Linked DNA regions of Cricetulus griseus. The protein of the gene in region 1 purifies or fractionates together with the protein of each later gene. This does not show direct contact. Links are inferred from orthologs where the notes say so. Each region holds a gene or a part of one and is shown on either strand. Other genes may lie near its edges.

Evidence for each region. Proteins that work in one complex are often made in the same cells at the same time.
Region 2: the proteins of Ctcf (region 1) and nucleophosmin purify together in Homo sapiens (affinity purification with mass spectrometry; 6 studies listed by BioGRID and IntAct, with this or other methods). This does not show direct contact. The link is inferred for Cricetulus griseus from reciprocal best matches to the Homo sapiens genes CTCF and NPM1.

What each region holds. Positions count from the first base shown.
Region 1 is NC_048596.1:181,958,196-181,968,385, forward strand, and holds the end of Ctcf (transcriptional repressor CTCF), read left to right. Parts: intron 1-423; coding exon 424-606; intron 607-1,216; coding exon 1,217-1,352; intron 1,353-3,331; coding exon 3,332-3,514; intron 3,515-4,709; coding exon 4,710-4,894; 3' UTR 4,895-6,217; downstream 6,218-10,190.
Region 2 is NC_048600.1:48,343,691-48,354,078, reverse strand, and holds the start of nucleophosmin, read left to right. Parts: upstream 1-4,814; 5' UTR 4,815-4,930; coding exon 4,931-4,988; intron 4,989-6,447; coding exon 6,448-6,527; intron 6,528-6,930; coding exon 6,931-7,050; intron 7,051-7,256; coding exon 7,257-7,350; intron 7,351-7,618; coding exon 7,619-7,725; intron 7,726-7,814; coding exon 7,815-7,876; intron 7,877-10,388. UniProt on the Homo sapiens protein: Involved in diverse cellular processes such as ribosome biogenesis, centrosome duplication, protein chaperoning, histone assembly, cell proliferation, and regulation of tumor suppressors p53/TP53 and ARF.

The DNA of each region.
Region 1 (10,190 bases):
AAAATGTTTAAAACTTTTATGTAGGTGCTTTTTGCTGGGTGTGGTGGCACTCATCTATAATCTCAGCACTTGGGAGAGTCAGGAGACAATTAAAGTTATTCTTCACTACATTGTGAATTAGAATCCAGCCTGGACTACATGAGACCATGTCTGGGGAAAAAACAAACCAAATATCTCCATGGATATTAAGTCTAAGACTTGAGAAGGAAAAGAAATCTAGCCCTGTAATGTCTCTTCAAGGGAAGTTAGAAAAGCAGCCAAACAGGTGAGCAGCATTTAGGGCAGCAGTTCTGCATCCCTGTGAATAGGCTGTCACCATTATGACAAATGGTGTTAACTCCTTGAAGATGAAAGGCCTATGGCAGCTGGAGTAGCAGCTCTGTGACCATCTGAGGCCTTTCTGACAAGCAGTTCTGTTTTCAGGAGAGGCACATGATCATGCACAAGCGCACTCACACGGGCGAGAAGCCTTATGCCTGCAGTCACTGCGACAAGACCTTCCGCCAGAAACAGCTCCTTGACATGCACTTCAAGCGTTATCACGACCCCAACTTTGTCCCTGCAGCCTTTGTCTGTTCCAAGTGTGGGAAAACATTCACTCGCCGGGTAAGGATCAGTTTTCCCATTGTGGTTCTTAATAACACGTTCTTGATCTGCCATTCCAGAATGCTGTTTTTGCCACTATAGTTATAAATGTAGAGATGCTTTGCCATTTGGAAAGAGTTATTCATCCCTATCCCAAGCTCTTCTGCCTTCTATTGGTAGGGACTGCAATATATTTGAGTAGGCTAGTGATTAAAAGGCATTTCCTTGGGTAGATTGAAATCTGCATTCCATTTTATCCCTAGCTAGTTTGAGTCTCCTTTCTGTGTTGTTTAGCCAAGTAAGGACTGGCCAGCTGACTGACAATGCCCCTTCCCCCACCAATGACTATAAGCACTAAGCCACTAAGCTTTCCCCTATCCCCAGGGGCCCAGCCTTATCTTCTGACAGATGCTTCCTTCACTCCCTTCCTCTCTCAGTCTCTTTCCCCTTCTCTTAATTGCTCCAGATGCTGTCCCATCTCCCCTCAATGGGGGAGGAGGAGTATGTTCAATATAGTTATCAGTCCTTTGGGACTTTATGGATTCCTTAAAGTTTGTTTTTATTTAATTAAAGTTCCAGCCTGAACTTAGCTCTTTTAGTAGTGTGAAACAAGGTTTGTTCCTTTTGTCAGAATACAATGGCAAGACATGCTGATAATTGTGCTGGTCCAGATGGTGTGGAAGGGGAAAATGGAGGAGAGACTAAAAAGAGCAAACGAGGAAGAAAAAGAAAGATGCGTTCTAAAAAAGAAGACTCCTCTGACAGTGGTAAGTGGATCATTTGTTGACTCGGTTAGAGGTGACACATTTGGAGACCCAGTTCCCAGAAAATAAGTGTAGGATATAGAGGCAAGAAGATCACTCTTCTTTTATGCTTGTAGTCTTTGTAAAGCCAGGCATGGTGGTATGTTCCTCTGGAGTTGGAAGCAGGAAGATAGAACAGGGGTTCAATGCCAGCAAATTCAGGCTAGCCCTGGCATTAAGGATATCAGATAAACCCCAGAAGTTACAAGTGTTGACAGTAACTATGAGCTTGTTGCAGAGCTTTCTGCTGTCATAGACCCTATCCCATGCCTTTTCCTGCCACTGTTTTGTTCCTGTTCTGTCTCTGAAGAAATTATTGATGGCCCCAGTAGAGTTCTGCAGTTCTTCTTTTGTCTTGCATTACTCGTTTCTTTCAGGGCCTTAAGGTAGTGTTTCTTTTTCCTTCTTCCTAAATGTTGGAAAATGTCCTACTGCTAGCAAAGTTCTCTCAACCATCTGCAGAGATTGACCAGCAGTTTCTGTTACTTTTAAGAATTTTCCAGGCTGGGCGTTGGTGGCACACACCTTTAATCCCAGCACTTGGGAGGCAGAGGCAGGGGAATCTCTGTGAGTTCAAGTCCAGGCTGGTCTACAGAGTTCCTGGACAGCCAAGGCTACACAAATAACACCTCTTAACTAAAATAATCAAGGCCTAATAAAGAAGCCTAATAAAAGGAACTTTTTATGTTCTGATGAACAATATAAATACAGGCTGTATTTATATAAACTAGCCCAGGGTGGCCTCAAACTCTCAGGTCTCTTGCCTCAGAATCTTGAGTACGGACTTGTGTCTGTCTCATTCTTTATTCCTCAAACCACTGTTCAATGGTTTGAGGTCCTATAGATACTACTCAAGGAAATGGAGGGGAGCTGTCTGTCAAGTCAGTACACCGAATAAGAGATCTGAGACTTCACAGCCTTATCTGACTCCTTATCTGTATTCTCTTTAGTAATTCACTCTCTTTAATTTAATGCTTTCAAAGGCTGGGATTATTCTAGAAAAAAAGAGCCTTGTATTGCATCAACAGTTTTGTATTTCCTTCTCAAATAGGTGGGCATGTACTCACACATACTGTCCAGTCAGAGACGAGCATCTCCGTCTCCCCTGCTTCAACTTCAGCTCAGTCTCCTGCTTTATCCTGTATAATAAGAGGAATGTGTGTTTTATTTCCTCAAGCACCGTTTTGTAGTTTGTCACATAACTGATAAGAGATGAAAATGGTTCTATGGTTTTAAGCTTGGGGTTTTTTTGGGGGGCGGGTGTTTTTGTTTTACAATTTTTCACGACAGGGTTTCTCTTGTAACCCTGGCTCTCCCTGAACTCCTTATGTAGACCAAGCTGGCCTCTAACTCAAGAGATCTGTCTTCCTTTGCCTCTTGAGTGCCACCACACCTGACATAAACTCAGTATTCTTGGGCTGGAGAGATGGCTCAGCGGTTAAGAGCACTGACTGTTCTTCCAGAGGTCCTGAGTTCAATTCCCAGCAACCACATGGTGGCTCACAACCACCTTGAATGAGATCTAGTGCCCTCTGCTGGCATGCAGGCAGAAGACTGTATATGTAATAAATAAAATGTTTAAAACAAAACAAAACCTCAGTATTCTTACACTAAAGCTAAAAGGGAAAAGTAATGGGCACCCCATGTGAAATGTCAAAGTAAGGCATAGTTGAAATATATAATTTGAATACTTCTTCACAGGACCAGTTTACCTAATCAATGCTGATAGCAAAATTTTGGTAAAAGCCCTTTTTTGTTCGGTTTTGGTTTTGGGGGGTGGAGTGGACACAGGGTTTCTTTACGTAGCCATGGCTGGCCTTGAACTCAGAATCTGCCTGCCTCTACCTCCCAAGTGCTAGAAGTATAGACTGTTTTCAGAACATTTGTCTGCTGTCTCTTTCACCACTCTGCTTGACCCACCACCTGTGCCTTGATTTCTTGAGAAGAAAACGCTGAGCCAGATCTGGATGACAATGAGGAGGAGGAGGAGCCTGCTGTAGAAATTGAACCTGAGCCAGAGCCTCAGCCTCAGCCTCAGCCTCAGCCTGTGGCCCCAGCCCCACCACCTGCCAAGAAGAGGAGAGGACGACCTCCTGGAAGAACCAACCAGCCCAAACAGAACCAGCGTAAGTTGCCTGCCTTGGCTCAGTTGGCATCATCTCTCTCATTTGAGGAAGCCAGATTGGTCTGTGTTCTTGTGAAGATGGGAACTAAGCCATGAAAACAAGTGAAGGTCACATTGGCAACAGACTCTCAGGAAGCTTTTTTATTTTTTTTAAAGAAGTTTTCTCTAAAAGCCTGTTATATTCCTACAGAAAAAGTCCAGAGTAGGCTGGGTGATGGTGCACACCTTTAATCCTAGCACTTGGGAGGCAGAGGCAGGTGGATCTCTGAGTTCCAGGACAGCCAGGGCTACACAGAGAAACCCTGTCTCAGAAAAAAAAAAAAAAAAAAAAAAATTCCAAAGTAGAAGGATGCTGATGTCCTAGAGGCAGGTACACTGTTGATGTAGGAGGGTTTAGAAAACAACCAGTCACTGTGGCCTGTAAAGTTGATGTGGTTATGGATAGAAGGGAGCCAGATTTCAAGGGATGGGATAAAATGAGTGGACTGAGAGTGCCCATCTAGAGAGGATTCTGGTCCACAAAGCTGTGAGTGTCATTGTCACCCACAGTCTCAACACCTGGAGGACTGGGGCTGGCCTGGGCTACATGATGAGGAGGGGAAGGGAAAGAGAAAAGCAGAACTGAGGTGTCAGGGATGGCGTGGTGTGTCCCTTTCAGGCACAGGTAGAACAGAAGTTTACTCTCTATTCACTTCGTCTCTAATATGTTAAATATTCTTCCTGAGCCCGTGTTTACATGTCCATCACAAAGAAGGAAGTTAACTTTAGAGCTAGAACCAGGCTCTGCCTTTCACCTATATACACTGGATCAGGAGCACTATAGAGTCAGAAATATCATCGGCATCATACACTGATGTATTCCCAGTCATGTGTGCGGTTGGATTTTCTTCCCCTGCCTCATATTACTGTAAATCCTAAATTCACAACAAACATAAAGGAAAACTAAACATCTTAACAGTGCAGTTTGGAGGCCTATGAAGGTGGATGTCAGCATTTGGTGTGACAGTTTCTAGCCTATTGGTTTTTTTATGTGTGACCACTTTAACATTAGCTGAGGCTTGCTTGTGCTTTTTTCACTTTTGCTGTCTATGTTGATATATCCCCCCCTCCCCCACCTTGTCAGTATCTGAAAGGATCCCTGTACTCTCTGTGGACTTTAATGTACTATTTGTTTTGTTCCTGCTCTTCTTTGCCAGCAACAGCCATCATTCAGGTTGAAGACCAGAATACAGGTGCAATTGAGAACATTATAGTTGAAGTCAAAAAAGAGCCAGATGCTGAGCCTGTGGAAGGGGACGAAGAGGAGGCTCAAGCAGCCACCACAGATGCCCCCAATGGAGACCTCACGCCTGAGATGATCCTCAGCATGATGGACCGGTGATGACGGGGCCCTTGCTCGTCACCAGGACTATTGGGGCTGTGTTTAAACGGCCCACATCTTAATTTTTCTCTTTTCTTTTGGCTTTGGGAACGGCATAATTTTACACCATTTTACCAAACATACTGAGAACGAAAACTTCAAGGATGATGTTAGAAAAATGTGATTTACTAGAACTTGTTGTTTGATGTTAGCAAATCATGGAATGTTCCAAGTCTCTGAGGGTTTACTGTGAAGTGCTGAGGACAGTGTTGATGCCTAACTAGTTTTCTTAGATGGAAACAGAGACATTGAGCCCTCTCTCTTGATTTAGTAAACCACTCCAGAATGGCCACGGGTTTCCCAGAGTTCTATGGTCTTCCCAAGAAGAGTTTTTAATTGTAAATGCAGACTTGGGAAAGACTTAAGACTTTTAACCTGGTTTTTGCTTTTGCTTTTCCCTGACTCCCTTTGCTAGGAGTCAGCTGCACACCAGTAGGATGGCATGCTACGATCAGTTTCTGTCCTGAATGCTTTGCCTCTTTCTTGGCAAAGTTTCTGGTATGGTCAAGCTTGTAAATAACCTTTTTTACATTTTAATCTTTTCCATTAATTAAGAGGTTGAAAAGAAGCGCAGTGTAAGAAAACCCAGCATTTTAATTACTTGCAAATTAAGGTACCAGGGACTGGGTGGTGTGTAAATGTTGTATCTATCACAATCATGTGGCAGAAGGGCATCGGGCCTGCTGCCTGCTAGTGATGGACACCCATGTCGAAAGTTGTGATTTCCAGCTCATGGAGCCAGCATTTGAACCTTGAACAAATAACTCTCATTTATGATTTCCCATCAACATTTCCTTTGCTCTGTTTGTAGCTGAATGTTATATTTTTTAAATCTTTGTTAAAGCCAGAAGAGTTGATTATGAATGGGTCACAGCAGCCCTGGCAAGCTGGGCCAAAAAATTTCACTAGGTCAGTAATTTAAACTTTGGATCTGGAAAAAAAAAAAAAAGAAAGAAAAATGATTAATAATAATGTGAAGCAAACCAACTTAAAAAGTGATTCTTGCACATGAATTGTCACATGTTGATATGTGTTTTTTTAAAAGAGCCTCAGTCTGACTGATTTCAAACACTTTTTTTCTTCCGTGTATTGCTTTTAAGAGAGCCATCAGTTAGCTATCAGACTCTAGGTTGATGCATTTTTGTACTTAGCTGTACTGTGTGATATTTTTCATTATTTTAGGACGCCAACATGAGACCTGTAATAAAATATGTAATGGGGTTGAAAGCTGGGGAGGAGGATCTACTGCTGTACAGCTAATAAATCATAACGGATTAACAGGCACTCTGCAGACTCCATCTTTTGTGATTCCTGTTAGCTGGGGTCCCTCGGGGCCTATCTCAGCTTCCTCTAAGCAACAGCCTGTAGCTCGATGGTCCTGGCAGACCACAGCATGGAATGTATCCTGTTTCAAGTCGTAGTGCCAACAAGTGTGCAGGGATAGAGAAGTGCATGCTTAACATAGCCTCCTGTTTCCACGGTACACCTGAGATGCCTGCCCCTTACACAACAGGCATTGCCAGAGGATGCTGTGTCCTTGAGATCTGCTTTAGGAAGATTTACGGTCTGTCCTAGTTTTTAGCCAGACAGGGAGCAGAAAAGCTGAGCTCAACCTGTGAGAGACAAAGAGCATTGGAAAAGTAAGACAGGCTGAGGACAAACTCAGGTGATAATTCTTATTCCTTAGCTCCACGGGGGGGGGGGGGTCGTCAGATAATACATTGTAGTGGAAACCACATTGTGTGTGTGTGGGGGGGGTGTTTCACTAAAAATACTCCTTATTGGATTTCTCCTGTCTCTGTGTGTTATTTCACCAAAAGTCCAATACTGGTTTTCAGATGCTTTTCTGTGAGAAAAAGGCAAAGGGCAAGATTCACGCAGCTTGTAGCTGGCTTGTGTTACCTGTTCGAGCAATTTAATGAGGAAAACAACAATGGGCTTCTTGAGTCTGGAAGGTTCCAAACCAGGCAGGCATCTCACCTAAATGAGTACTAACAGCCTTGGACTGTTAGAACTAGAGTTATTTATAATTAGAAAATCCCTTTTACAGAACAGTCAGCCAGTATGCCCCCCCCCCTGTTTATGTATATTCAAATTTCCTGAAAATTCAAGAGTGCATCTGTCTTGGGCTAGCTTGGTGAAAGGGTCAAGCAGGAAGTGAAGTTCTGATGGAGCTAAAGAACGGTTTTGCACAGCTTGTGCTACACCTGACATGAGTCCATTAACCCCTCTACATCCAGCTGGCCATCACCCCTATTCTACTGTGAAAGCTTAGCAAATTGCTGAGCCTGCAGTAATCAGTAATCTATAGTCTGTAATACATTCTTTACATTTCTGGCCTGGCTTCAGCCCTGTCCACAGCTGTCCTGTTCTGTGAGCCCTCAGAACAGGTTCTTAGTCAGGTTCTTTTTCTAGTAAAACCACTTGCGGTGAATGAGCCCTCATCCAATGTTCCTCAGCATTAAGTTTTTTTGTCCTGCTGAGCTTCCACATCACCCGCAGAATCTGTCTTGAGTGTTCTTGGTCTCAGATTTGTTTGTCACTACTGTACCAACCACAAGCAGCTGTAAGCTAGACTTGGTTACCTCTGTAGATCCTGTTTTTTCCAGTAGTCCCTATCTGCCTCAAGCACTCGAGGCATAGGAATAACCCTGTTAGTGTTCTGTCTGGCCTTGACCAGGAGGGTGCTTCTGCCTGGGCACTTCTATCGCCCTTTGACAGTCACCCCTTCTTATTTTAATGAGAAAAGTTCTAGAGGGCAGAGGGGGGTAGAAGTCCCAGAGATGCCATGGTAGGCTTGGTAGATGGAAGTACTCACTGAATACACATCTCTAAATAAACATCACAGCCAGTCATGCTGGCACACCACTGTAATGCCAGCACTTTGGAGGAGGCAGGAATTCAACGCTGGCTTGGTGCTCAGAAGCAATTCTGGCGCTCAGGAGGTGAAGGAGGATTGCCACAAGCTTAAGGCCAGCTTGAACTACATAGTACCTGACAGCCAGGGATAGCAAGAGCCCCGTGCCAACAAAAAGGGAGCTGGAGAAATGGTTCAGTGGTTAAGGCACTTGCTGCTCTTGTAGAGGACCAGAATTTGGTTCTAGCACCCACTGCGGGCAGGGCACAATTACCTATAACTCTGGGTGATCTGATACCCTTCTGACCCCTGTGTGCACCCACACAAAGTGCATAGACACACAAACCAAGTTCTGGGAGTAACTCAGGTGTCAGTCGATAGCTTTTTTTTTTTTTTTAAAGATTATTATGTATACAACATTCTGCTTCCATGTATATCTGCACATCAGAAGAGGGCACCAGATCTTATAACGGATGGTTGTGAGCCACCATGTGGTTGCTGGGAATTGAACTCAGGATCTCTGGAAGAGCAGTCGGTGCTCTTAACCTCTGAGCCATCTCTCCAGCCCCAGTCAATAGCTTTCAAAAGACTAGTGAGGCTAATTGTCAAAATTCATTCACTTTGTCTTTCAAAACCCACATTCTTGGCCATAATGAGCATGAGACTAATTTCTGCCACCCTATAAGCTATTTGTGAATTCCAGATGGCCTTAAAGTCTTACATGTCAGTCTCAGGCTGAGAGGCATCAGAACATCTTGGTTCTGACTGCATCTGCTCTAGCCAATCGCTCCCTATCCTATCAGCCTTAAGCTGTCCTACCATGTTCATCTTAAAATGACTGTGTCGTTCCCCAATTTCTACTTTCTACTTTCTACTTTCTACTTTCTCCATTTCTACTTCCTGTCTTGTCCTATGATTTGGTGGAAGTCGGCAAACACATTAAGAGGTTTGTTCTCATCACATTTCAGGGAATTGAACTCTTTCACGTAGGCAAAGCAAATGCTCCTGGCACTTAGCCATTTTATTTTGAAGAGACAGGGTCTCTGTGTTGTTCAGGTTGTTCAGAAAGTCCTGTTGATTCAGAATGGCTGGGACTTGGTCAAGGGGGTCCTATCTAGAGGACATGCCCAGTCTCATCCCCATGACTGGGAAAGGTAAGTAGAGATGGGAAAGAAGCTGAAGACCTACCCAGTTCATAGCCTTCCACTTTCCAGGACATTACATTTCTCTGTAGCTGAACCATGGATGGGACAATTAGAAGTGGGATATAATGGAAGTCTCAGGGCACAGTTTTAGATCTATGAACCCTGAAATCCAGTCCCTGGGCTTTTGTAGGATAGTATGCCTCTGGCTACCATACTCTGACAGACTTTTTGGTTTTTGGAGATAGGGTTTCTCTGTGTAGTCCTGGCTGTCCTGGAATTCACTCTGTAGACCAGGTTGGCCTAGAACTCACCCAGATCCTTCTGACTCTGCCTCTGCCTCCGGAGTGTTGGGATTAAAGGTGTGCACCACCACACCTGGCTGCCTGTGACTTGATCCCCAGCTCTAGACTGGCTTCCTTCTCAAGGGAATTATCCCTAAACTTAAATGTAGACAGCATGAGGACGAAGATGTAGTGTACTTGATATTTGCTCATGAGTCACTCCAGCATTCCCTAAGGTTCAGTCCATAATTAGCTACAGCTGTCTTCTAAGATCCCCAATCTACTGGGTGGTGGTAGTACACGCCTTTAACCCCAGCACTCAGGAGGCAGAAGCCGGAGAATCTCTGAATTCAAGGCCAGCCTGGTCTACAGAAAGTTCTAGAATGACCAGGTTTACAAAGAAACCCTGTCTCAGAAAAAGAAAAAGAAAAAAAGAAAAAGAAGGAAAGAAAAGAAAAAAGATAAAGGAAAAAAGGAAAGAAACCCAATAATAGTAATCCCCAATCTAATGAAAGGAAACTGCTACAAAGGAGTATTATGACTTTTGTTATTTGGGCTTTTTTTTTCTAGACAGTTTCACTGTGTAGCCCTGATAGTCCTGCAACTCACTCTGTAGACCAGACTGGCCTCGAATTCAGAGCCTGCCTCCCGAGTGCTGGGATTAAGGGCATGAGCCACCACGGCTGGGTTTTGGGATTTTGTGTGTTTTTGTTTGTTTGTTCAGACAGAGTTTCTCTGTGTAGCCTTGGCTGTCCTGGAACTCACCCTGCTGACAGGCTGGCCTCGAATTCACAGACACCTTTTTCTGGCTTCTTTTGAGTGCCTACTACACCTACCCAACCTCTCTTGGGACAGACCAAGTTGAGTTTATGGAATCGCCTGGAGAGTGGCGCCCCCTGGTGTTCGCATCAAGGACTACGTGGCAGGGGTGAAAGTAGGGCAGAGGATCCTCAAGAACCGGCAAGACCTTCTCA
Region 2 (10,388 bases), on another chromosome or scaffold:
GATTAAAGGTGTGTGCCTCGACCGCCCGGTGAATCTGGGCATTTCTTTTCATATTTCTGTAGTCATGTGCTATACAGTTATACAGTTGTCCCTTGGTGCCCACAAGAGATCAACTAGTTCCAGAACTATCCTCCTGCCAATACTCAAATCTGCAGGTGGAAAGATGTATATTAAATAGCATGCCATATGTATATGAAAACTGTTGAAAAAGAGAGTTGGTCATAGGATTCAATTTTTATGCTTTAAAATGTGCTCAAAACTAATAATAAAAACCTGGAATCATAAAAAAGATAGTACATATTCTGTCCTACTCATTGTACCTCAGTATGTTGTATCATACAGAGACATTCAACGTGCAGGCAGGTGGCAGGAGGGCAAGGAGAGCTCAAGTAAAACATGGCTTTCCTTTTGCAAAAAGTAAGAGGTTGTACTTCATGAACATATACTTGCAGGTTTCTGCCCTTTTACTATGAAAGTCCATTTATATCTGTTTGCTTTTCAGGTCTCTGGGCTCAGAGTCCAAAGCAGGACCTCAGGAAGCATTAAAAACCAATTTAAAACAAAACAAAAAAACTAGGGCTGGAGAGGTGGCTCAGTGGTTAAGAGCACTGCGGCTCTTCCAAAGGTCCTGAGTTCAATTCCCAGCAACCACATGGTGGCTCACAACCACCTGTAATGAGATCTGGTGCCTTCAGGCCTGCAGGCATACACGCAGACAGAACCTGTATACATAATAAATAAATCTTAAAAAAAATATACCTAGGCACTAGTCTTTAATCTCACCTTTAACCCCAGTACTTAGCAAGAGGCAGAAGCAGGCAGATCTCTGTGAGTTTGAGGCCAGCCTGCTCTACAAAGCCAGTTCCAGGACAGGCTCCAAAGCTACACAGAGAAACCTTGTCTTGAAAAAACCAAACCAAATCAATCAATCAAACAAACAAACAAACAAACAAACAAACAAACAAAAAAACCAAAACGCCTTCTCTTTCCCCAACACTTCCCACAGCTTCATATGATGTTGTTATCTAATCCCATTTTCTTAGTCACTGTGAATAACAACTCAACAAACATAGGCACACAGGTATCTGTATTGTATGCTGATTCAAACATATACCCGAAAGGGATGCAACCAAATCACTGTAAATTCAATTTTGAGGAACCTTCAGATTTCTTTAGTGTTTCTACTAATTCATGTTCCCACAAAATATATGTACATGTTCATTTTGCCAACATCTAAACCTGTAGTAAGTTTTCTTTTCTACAGTAGATATTCTAACTGGGGTTAAGAGGCCCCCATTGTGATTAGATTTGTATACCCTCAATGAATAATGATATTGAGCATTTTCATATATTTATGATTAATATTTTTCTTTTGAGAAATATCTATTTCTCATTTTGACTAACTTATCATTATTAAGGTCTTTAGTTATATTTTAGAGATTTGTTGTTTGTCTGAGGAATAGCTGGCAAGCATTTTCTTTCATTCTGTGATGTGTTTCTCCGCTCTGGTAATTGTGTGGCCTTTGCTGTGCAGAAAATATTTATTTTGCTGTCAGTTCTGTACAAGTCCATTTTTGAGATTATTATCATATTAAGCTGTGTTAGGGTATTCATAAGGATATGTGTACAAAGATACTAAGGTACAATTTGACTATATTCTTTTTTGGGGGGGCAGGTTTTGAGGCAGGGTTTCTCTGTGACTTTGGAGGCTGTCTTGGAACTAGCTCTTGTAGACCAGGCTGGTCTTGAACTCACAGAGGTCTGCCTGCCTCTGCCTCCTGAGTGCTGGGATTATTTTTATTTTACTATTATTATTTTTGTTTTTTGAGACATTATATTATATATGTTTCAATTTGCATAGGCCTATATAATTGCAATGAAAAAGACAATAAACATTCTTTTATGGCTACCTTAAAAACACAGGTTTTGCTTATTTTTTTGAGACAAGGTTTCTCTGTGTAGCCCTGGCTGTCCTGGAACTCTGTAGGCCAGGTGGCCCAAAACTCAAGAGATCTACTTGCCTCTGCCTCCCAAGTGCTGGGATTAAAAGCATGCACCACCATTTTAAGGCTGGCTTAAAAATACATTTTTAACAAATGTAACACAAAACATAAAAGACCCAGAGACTGATATTGGGGTTCAAACTTCAAGCTGAAAAACAGAAAAGCAAAGTAGTGGGCCACTACCTCAGGCTGAATGGGCTGATCCTGCTGCCTCTCCTCAGCATGGCTTGAGAATCCTCAATATGGATGGAGAATGAATGCTCCTATTTTCAGTGTGACTGGAGAATGAATGTTTAATACTGAGACCTTGATCCTGTGTTTTATATACCTCACTAATGTTGGGATTAAAGGCGTGTGATCCCAGGTGCTGAGATCATCTTTGTGTGAGCTGTTTATCTTGTGTAGATCTGGGTGGCCTTGGACTCACAGAGATCTGTCTACCTCTTAATCCTAAAATTAAAGGTGTGTACCACCACCTCCTAGTTTCTGGCTGCTGGGAATAAAGGTGTGTGCCTGGCTTCTGTGGCTCATGGCTAACTTTGCTTTCTGAATCCTCAGGCATGCGTTAATAAATCATAAATATTACTACAAATAAACACTTAAAAAAACAAAACAAATCCATGATTCTGATACAGTGTAGGGGTCTTGATTAGGTTTATTTTCTCTGACAGTTAAAGAATTAAAGGCAGGAAAAATCTGAAGTACAACATGTAGCAGCAGAGAACTCTGCAGACAGGATCAGGAAGGTGTTTATTGGTGGTGAGGAAGCCTATGTATGCAGAGACACACAGAGAAAAGACCCTCTGTGAAGCTGGAAAATCCAGCCCCCTGTCCAGGGCTGGGATTTTAAGTCTCTGAAGAGTTTTCCTCCCCTAATTTATGGTTTGTCAGTTTGAAGAAAGTTAGGGCATTTGATTGTTCCAGAACTGTTGTGTGATGTCCTGAGCAGGCCTTGAACTTGTTGAGCCTGTCTGTCAGGAGGAGGCCTGCTGGTGGGAGACAATAGCCTACAAGGCCTTTTGTCTCAAGGTAGGTGGTTAAGGAAAAAGCTGGCCATCTTGGAGATGGCTTTATTATCTCGCCTTAGCCCCTCTCCCTATCGGTCTGCCCAACAGGGAGTCTGTGTAACTCCTAATCCTTCAATCCCATGAGTTTATATTTAGACAAGGTGCCTGAAATGTTGCAACAAGTGTGTTTTCATTAGTGATAGCTCCCAAATAGTTTAGTGTCTGCATTAGATGTGTTTCTTTTGTTTGTTTTTGGAGACAGGGTTTCTCTGTGTAGCTCTGGTTGTCCTAGAACCCGCTCTGTAGACCAGTCTGGCCTTGAACATTTGAGATCTCCCTGCTTCTGCCTCCTGAGTACTGGGATTAAAGGCTTTTCTCTCTCCCCAACCCCCTGCATGTGCTGTGTTTAAATGATCCAGAATCTAGGAAACAATGAAGTAGTTTTTTGACCCGCCCTGGCTCTAAGAACATTCTCCCTCCTAGACTAGAAGCCTTCGAATTTTGAATGGCCAGACTGCTCACTTGTGGTTTTCCCTTTTCCCGTTTATCTCAGTTGCTTACATAGACAGTACTTCCAAGTTTCAGGATTTACTCTAGTAGTTGTAAAGTGGAAATTCACTGGGCCCCATTCACATCTTGAGGCTGATTTTTTCCCCCCCAAATTTAGGATTTGGTTAATAATCTGCTCATACGTTTTATACTCAACTGGTCTTCCCAATTGGACCATCTCTGGAGTAAAGAGTCTGGGGGCATGAATACCATTACTCACATTCCTCCCAGTAACCTTTTCATTTGCTAGCTATGTTGAGATAAAAAGATTAGGGCTGCTCTCAGTACGCACCCAATGTTGAGGGATGTTTGTCGGGACGCAGTTTAAAATGCTATTTCCCAGCCAAAGATTCTAATCAAGGCTCCTGTATTTCTTAGAAGTCATATGCCTTCATTTGGAATGATAAGGATGACCTGCGTGTTCTCAATTCTGCACACACCTCTAAACTTTTAGAAAGGTGCTCTTTGGCCCTCGAATGACGTAAAGCTGAGAACTTAAGACTTTGGAGATGCTGCCTCAGAAAAGAGGTATAAAAAGTATGGCTGATGCCGGGCGGTGGTGACGAATGCCTTTAATCGCAACACTCGGGAGGCAGAGACAGGCGGATCCCTGGGAGTTTGAACCCAGCCTGTGAGTTCCAGGACAACCAGGGCTGTTACAGAGAAACCCTGTGTGGAAAAACCACAAAAAAAAAAAAAAAAAAAAAAAAAAAGGCTGACAAAGTGGCAAGCAGAGAATCATTCTACTAATGATCCGTCTGTCCTGCCTTTGGCTCCTGAAGCTCTATGGGAAAAGGATAAAATAAGACCAAGCCTTCGAGGAGGTCAAATCCTGAGATTATGCCTGTTGCAGGTCTACCGAGAACCGGAGGGCGAAGAACAGCGAAGGGAGTCGCCCGCTGGTTCCCGGCCGGCAGTCGCCATCTTTTAGGGTGGGCTGCGCAGCCTCTCCGCGCAGGGCCCGCGTGGAGAAGCCGAAACGTGGTAGCTTCGGAGGGCTGGAGCGCGTTACAAAGGGAAAGTGCGCCTGCGCTCGGGCAACCGCGCTGGAGGGGCGGGGCCAGAGGGAGGACGCGCGTGCGTAGTGCGAGCCCGCCAAGCACCTGGAAGAGGTGGGGAGGGGAGGTAGAGAGGCGTGGGATAGGACAGCGCTTGCGCAAGAGCGAGACAGTGCGGGAAGTGGGGGATCCGGAGCACGCTCGCGGAGGCGGGACTAGGGCAGATCTCGCGAGATTTGCTGCGGCCATATATACGTGCGGCGAGCCCGCGTCCTTTCCCTGGCGTGATTCCGTCCTGCTTGTCTGTTCTGAGGAGCAGTAGGCAGTTTCCTCCGTCCGATATCTCGCATACCGAAGTGCGCGTCTCCACCTCATGGAAGACTCGATGGACATGGACATGAGCCCTCTTAGGCCACAGAACTACCTTTTCGGTAACTGCCTGGCGGGGAGGGCCTGGGCAGGGCCTGGTGGTTGGGGGGGCGGCGGGAGTCCAGTTGAGGCCTGGCGTGTGCCAAGCGCGGCGTGGGTGGAGGCCTTTGCACGGCTGGGAGGAACCGCCTGGGCCGCGGGAGCCGAAGAAAGCCGAGGCCCGGGCGCTGAGCGGGACCGTAGCTTGGGGCGGCAGCGGCCCAGCCTCGAGCCTCTGGCGTTGAGAGGGCGGTCGGCCGAGGGTGCCAACTTGGCTTGGGGCGCGAGCAGGGGCTGTGACGACACTTTCTCTTCATACGTGAAGAAGGCCTCAGGACCTGGCAACAGGCAGCTGAAATTCAGCGCTGGGCCCCAGGCGCGTCCCGGGATAATGGTGCCTCTGGAGCGCGGCCTGCGCCGCCTCGTTGGGACGGTATAAGTGCAGTCCGCTGGGCTTTACAGGGGCTTCGGCCCCTCCTCCCCGTGCATCCGAGAGGTTCCGCCGCTGACAGGGACTCGGCCGGCCAAGCTCCCTGCGGCTGAGGGGGCCGCAACCCCTGGGAACACGTGGTTGCCACGTGGTTGGGGGTAGGGAGGGGGTGTGGGCTCTACATCCGGGCTCTCCTCACTTCTTAACCCTGGTCCTTCGGGTCCTGTGGTTTAATTAGGAGTGCTAGGCGGGAAACGCGTAAAGTGGCGCGTGGCGTCCGTGTCTTTGTTAAGATCTTGTAGCATCCACGGTGATGGTAGTGACTTTTTTTTAGAGACCCTTTAGTGCCTCTGCAAGAGGTGGAGTCAGCCCCACGCTGCCGATGACGATATTGATGGTCGAAGGGTCTTGATGTTAAGAGAGGGCCACGAAATCTTAAGTCGAAACTATCCTTTTCCCTACAACTGGTCTTTTTTTTTTGATTGGGCCGGGGAAGAGAGAGAAGTGCCTCCCGCGTTTAGCAGATTAAGGGATCACTTTGGTAACTCGGCTTCTGGGGACCCCACTGTCACTGCACATTCAGCTTATCGGTTTTACAGTCTATTAGTTTGGTTTTCAGTGACTCGAGTCAATTTTTTCAAAATTCCGAGTGTTTAAAGCACTTTCCCCTACGTGAATGAGTAGTACATGTTTAATGTACTCTAAGCATGAAGGGTTTAAGCTGTCCCTACTGGTCATGTGTAACCACTGTTGATTTGTAGTAATTTCCTTTAGAACGTAGGTAAGTTGGGTTTTTTAAAAATAGTGCTAGATAATGGTATGGTGCCACTATGCAAAAATCCAGTTTTAGGTCATTGGGTTTTCTGTGAAAAAATGGTAACGGTGCCTCATTAATTGGTCGTGAGTTACTATGAAAAAGTAGAACTTTTATTGGCTTTCTTATACAGTAGATTCCACGGAGAGAACATTTTTAAGTTAAAAGAGTAGAAGTTAATGGTCGTTTGGGACTGTGATGTTCATCTTGCTAGATTTATTTTATTTTTTCTTTACAGGTTGTGAACTAAAAGCTGACAAAGATTATCACTTTAAGGTGGATAATGATGAGAATGAACACCAGTTGTCACTAAGAACGGTACTTAAACTTTGAAATTAATTAGCCATTAGATTTCAGCCACTTGGATCTAAGTGAGGGGATTTATGTCAGTTTGTGCTTCCTTAACTGATGGAAAAATAGTATTTTTATAACTTTAAAATAGTTCACATATGTACTGGTAACAAAGAACTGGGTGTCTTTTCCACAGTCACTGTTATAATTAGTTGTCTAGTAAGGCTCTGCAGGATGTGATCTTTTTAAGTCTGTTGGCTATATTTTATTGGTTGTTTGGCTTTCTTAGGAACATACAGTGTTTTGTGTCTATGCATCTCGTAATTATATGAGAGGACTAGTTATCAGTAGTGAGAAGAGGCTAATTAAAAAATTTAAGGGGTGTTTATAAAACAACTGGGTACTGAAGGATCTTTCTTTTTGTTCACAGGTTAGTTTAGGGGCAGGGGCAAAAGATGAATTACACATCGTAGAGGCAGAAGCAATGAACTATGAAGGCAGTCCAATTAAAGTAACGCTGGCAACATTGAAAATGTCCGTACAACCAACAGTAAGTACATTTGTAAACATTGTTTTTAAAGTTGGTCTCTAAGACTGATTTAGGATAAGCAAAGATGTTTCAAATAAGTTATATCTAGTGTGAGATTATCTCTGTGGCTTCTAGATAGGTTTATTGATTATATAACTCTGTTGGTGATGCTTGGTGCAAAACATTCTTAAAACAATGTTTAATGATTGAAATTTGCTCATTTTTAGGTTTCCCTTGGTGGCTTTGAAATTACACCACCTGTGGTGTTACGGTTGAGGTGTGGTTCAGGGCCTGTGCACATTAGTGGACAGCATCTAGTAGGTATGTTTTTGGGTTTTTAAATCTGGTATTTCTATTAGGAACTGGCTTTTTTTAATATTTGTGTTTTGGCCAGGTTAGAGAAGACGTCTGTTGCCACTACTTGGGTCCTTGGGATTGAATACTGAGGTTTAGCCACAAAGATCTTGTAATTAGATTGGCTATCATCCTAGATCTCCAATATGGACTTTGTAAAAGTTCTTAGTTGTCTTATGCTGAAATAGGAATCTGGTAATGTATAAAAAGATAACACCTGAGTATCTTATTTCAGCTGTAGAGGAAGATGCAGAGTCAGAGGATGAAGATGAGGAGGATGTGAAACTCTTAAGTATGTCTGGCAAGCGATCTGCTCCTGGAGGTGGTAGCAAAGTTCCACAGGTAATTTTTTTTTTTAGGAAATGTTTTTGGTTTCAATATGTTAAATACTAAGGAATGACTCTTTCTCACAAATACATTTTTCTTTTAAGAAAAAAGTAAAAATCGATGAAGATGAGGATGATGATGATGAAGATGATGAAGACGATGAAGAGTAAGTATAAGTTTGTATGGTCTTAGAAACTTGACACACTGCACTGTGAAGGGTTTTAGGAAAATTGATTTGCCCCAATAGTTTCTAAAAGTGACAAAAAGGATTGATGGTTGAAAGTGAAGACACTTGTGCCTGTTAGGTTGTGATTCTTTCAGTGGGACATTGATTTTTTTTTTTGAGTTTAAAATAGGTTAAAATAAGATTTCATGTGTTGTGCCTGTAACAGATGTGAAATGTCTTGACATGAGTTATCTTTGAATATCTTGTTAGAAGTTGTGGAATTGGTCATGTTTTATTTATTGAAAGCATTATGTATGAAGTAAGAACTGTTGAGGAAAGCAAATTTGGGAGTGGGTATTAATATATAGATTAACTAGCAAACTGAATAATGCATGAAAAATGATACATCTATGGTTCCTTTTAGGTAATGTTACACATTACCTAAATACCTTGTATGATAATATCCGGTTATGGATATCTGAAAAGATAACTCATTTTATATATAAATTGGAAGTTTCTGGTTAAGAGAAAGCCTCTTGGGTTCTAAAGCCAGTTTTTGTTTTTTGTTTTATTTTTCTTCGTTTGGCTTTTGCCATAGCAGTTTTATTAATTTTGCTTCTATTGATACAATCACATATTTTATATGTAAGACTGAGGAACATTTTGTCACATAACTGCTTCCTAACTTGTCATAATTTCAGCCTTCCCCTCCTTTATATGGGGGTTTTTATTTTTGATCATGGTACAATTGATCAGATGTATGGTGTGCCTCTTTATTGTAAGTTAATATTTTATTTTATTAGTTCAAATTAGGAACAAGCTTCACATGTCAATCCCTTCTCCCTCTCCTCCCCAACATCCCACCTGCCCCTAGCCATCCCCTCTCCACTCCCCAGGCAGGGTAAGGTCCTCAAAAGGGGCTCCCCATAGTCTACCACATCCTGGGCCAGGCCTAGGCCCTTCCCCCTGTGTCCAGGCCAAGAGAGCATCCCTTCACATGGGATGGGCTCTCAATCCCTTTTTTTTTTTAAGACCTTACATATTTAATACAGTGCGTTACCTCTGTACAAATGGAAAAAAAGTTAAACATTTCTAGACCAATATGGCTGCTAATTTTGTACAATGCCAACTCAGCGCAGTAAACTGGGATACTTTTCCAAAGTTGACAGCACAGCTAAAGTTCCCCAAAATTCAAATTATATATGTATATATATTTATATTTATATAAAAAGACCAATAATGGCAGTATGTTAAAAGCCAGCATTAAAAACTACCAAAAGCGCTGGGCGTTGGGGGCGACCCTTTAATCCCAGCACTCAGGAGGCAAAGGCAGGCGGATCTCTGTGAGTTCGAGGCCAGCCTGGTCTCCAGAGCGAGTGCCAGGATAGGCTCCAAAGCTACACAGAGAAACCCTGTCTTGAAACCCCCCCCCAAAAAAAAACTACCAAAGCATTGGATTTACATGTGGCTTTTGACATCATGGTATAATAATGAGATGATTTCCCACACTACTGAAAAGGTCATTAATATGTGAAGTTCGTGCTTTTCAATTTAATGAGACTAGTGTGGAAATCTGTGGCCAATGTTGGTAGAACTTATAGATTGAATGCAGATATAGTTAAAACTTTGAATTTATGTTTTAGAATTTATTATGCAGTGTTCTGCCTGCAGGCCAGAAGGGGGCACCAGATATCAAGAGAAGGCTTTGGGCCATCATGTGGTTGCTTGGAAGGACCTCTGGAAGAGTAGCCAGTGCTCTTAACCGCTGAGCCATCTCTCCAGCCCCAACTTATACATGTGTACTCAAATATATATACTTAAAGATACTTTAAGTGATTTTACCCTGTAATGTGATTCACTCCCTTTTAAAAGACTTACTGTGTCTGAAGACCATTTTGTACTTACACACTTTAAGCAAATGTCATGTGGATCCAGATCATCTCAGATCTATCTAGATTGTGAAAGTGAGAAGCAGCTCCTTTTTTGAGGTAATAACACTCAAGTAGTTGGAGGTGGATTCTGCTAATTGCAATCTGGCAGCTTAATTCTCATGGCACATAATAAATGTTTAGGGAGAGCCAATAAAGTAAGCCTTGCCAAACACTGCATACACTAGAATGAAAAAAGCAGAAGAGCTTTGATTGTCTCAAGGAAAGGAGAAGCATTAAGACAACAGCTATAGATTCAGAACAGATTAAAAATTTTACTGCAGGTTTGTATTCTGTGCATTTCCTCCCAACAGGCCTTGGCTGTCTTGGGTCTCATTCTGTAGACCATGCCACCATGAACTCAAGAGGCCTCTGCCTCCCAAGGGCTGGGATTAAAAGTGTGCACCTCCCTAGCCAAACTCTTATCTAGTATTCCTTAAGCTGTAGTTAGCTACTTGTGAATTTTGTAGATTGGCCTTTTCAAGGAATTAAGTCATAGAATCCTATTCATTTGTGTGTGACTTAACTGATTTTTGACAGTGATTACATTTTTATGGGCTGAGAATTTCTTGTGGATATGCTGT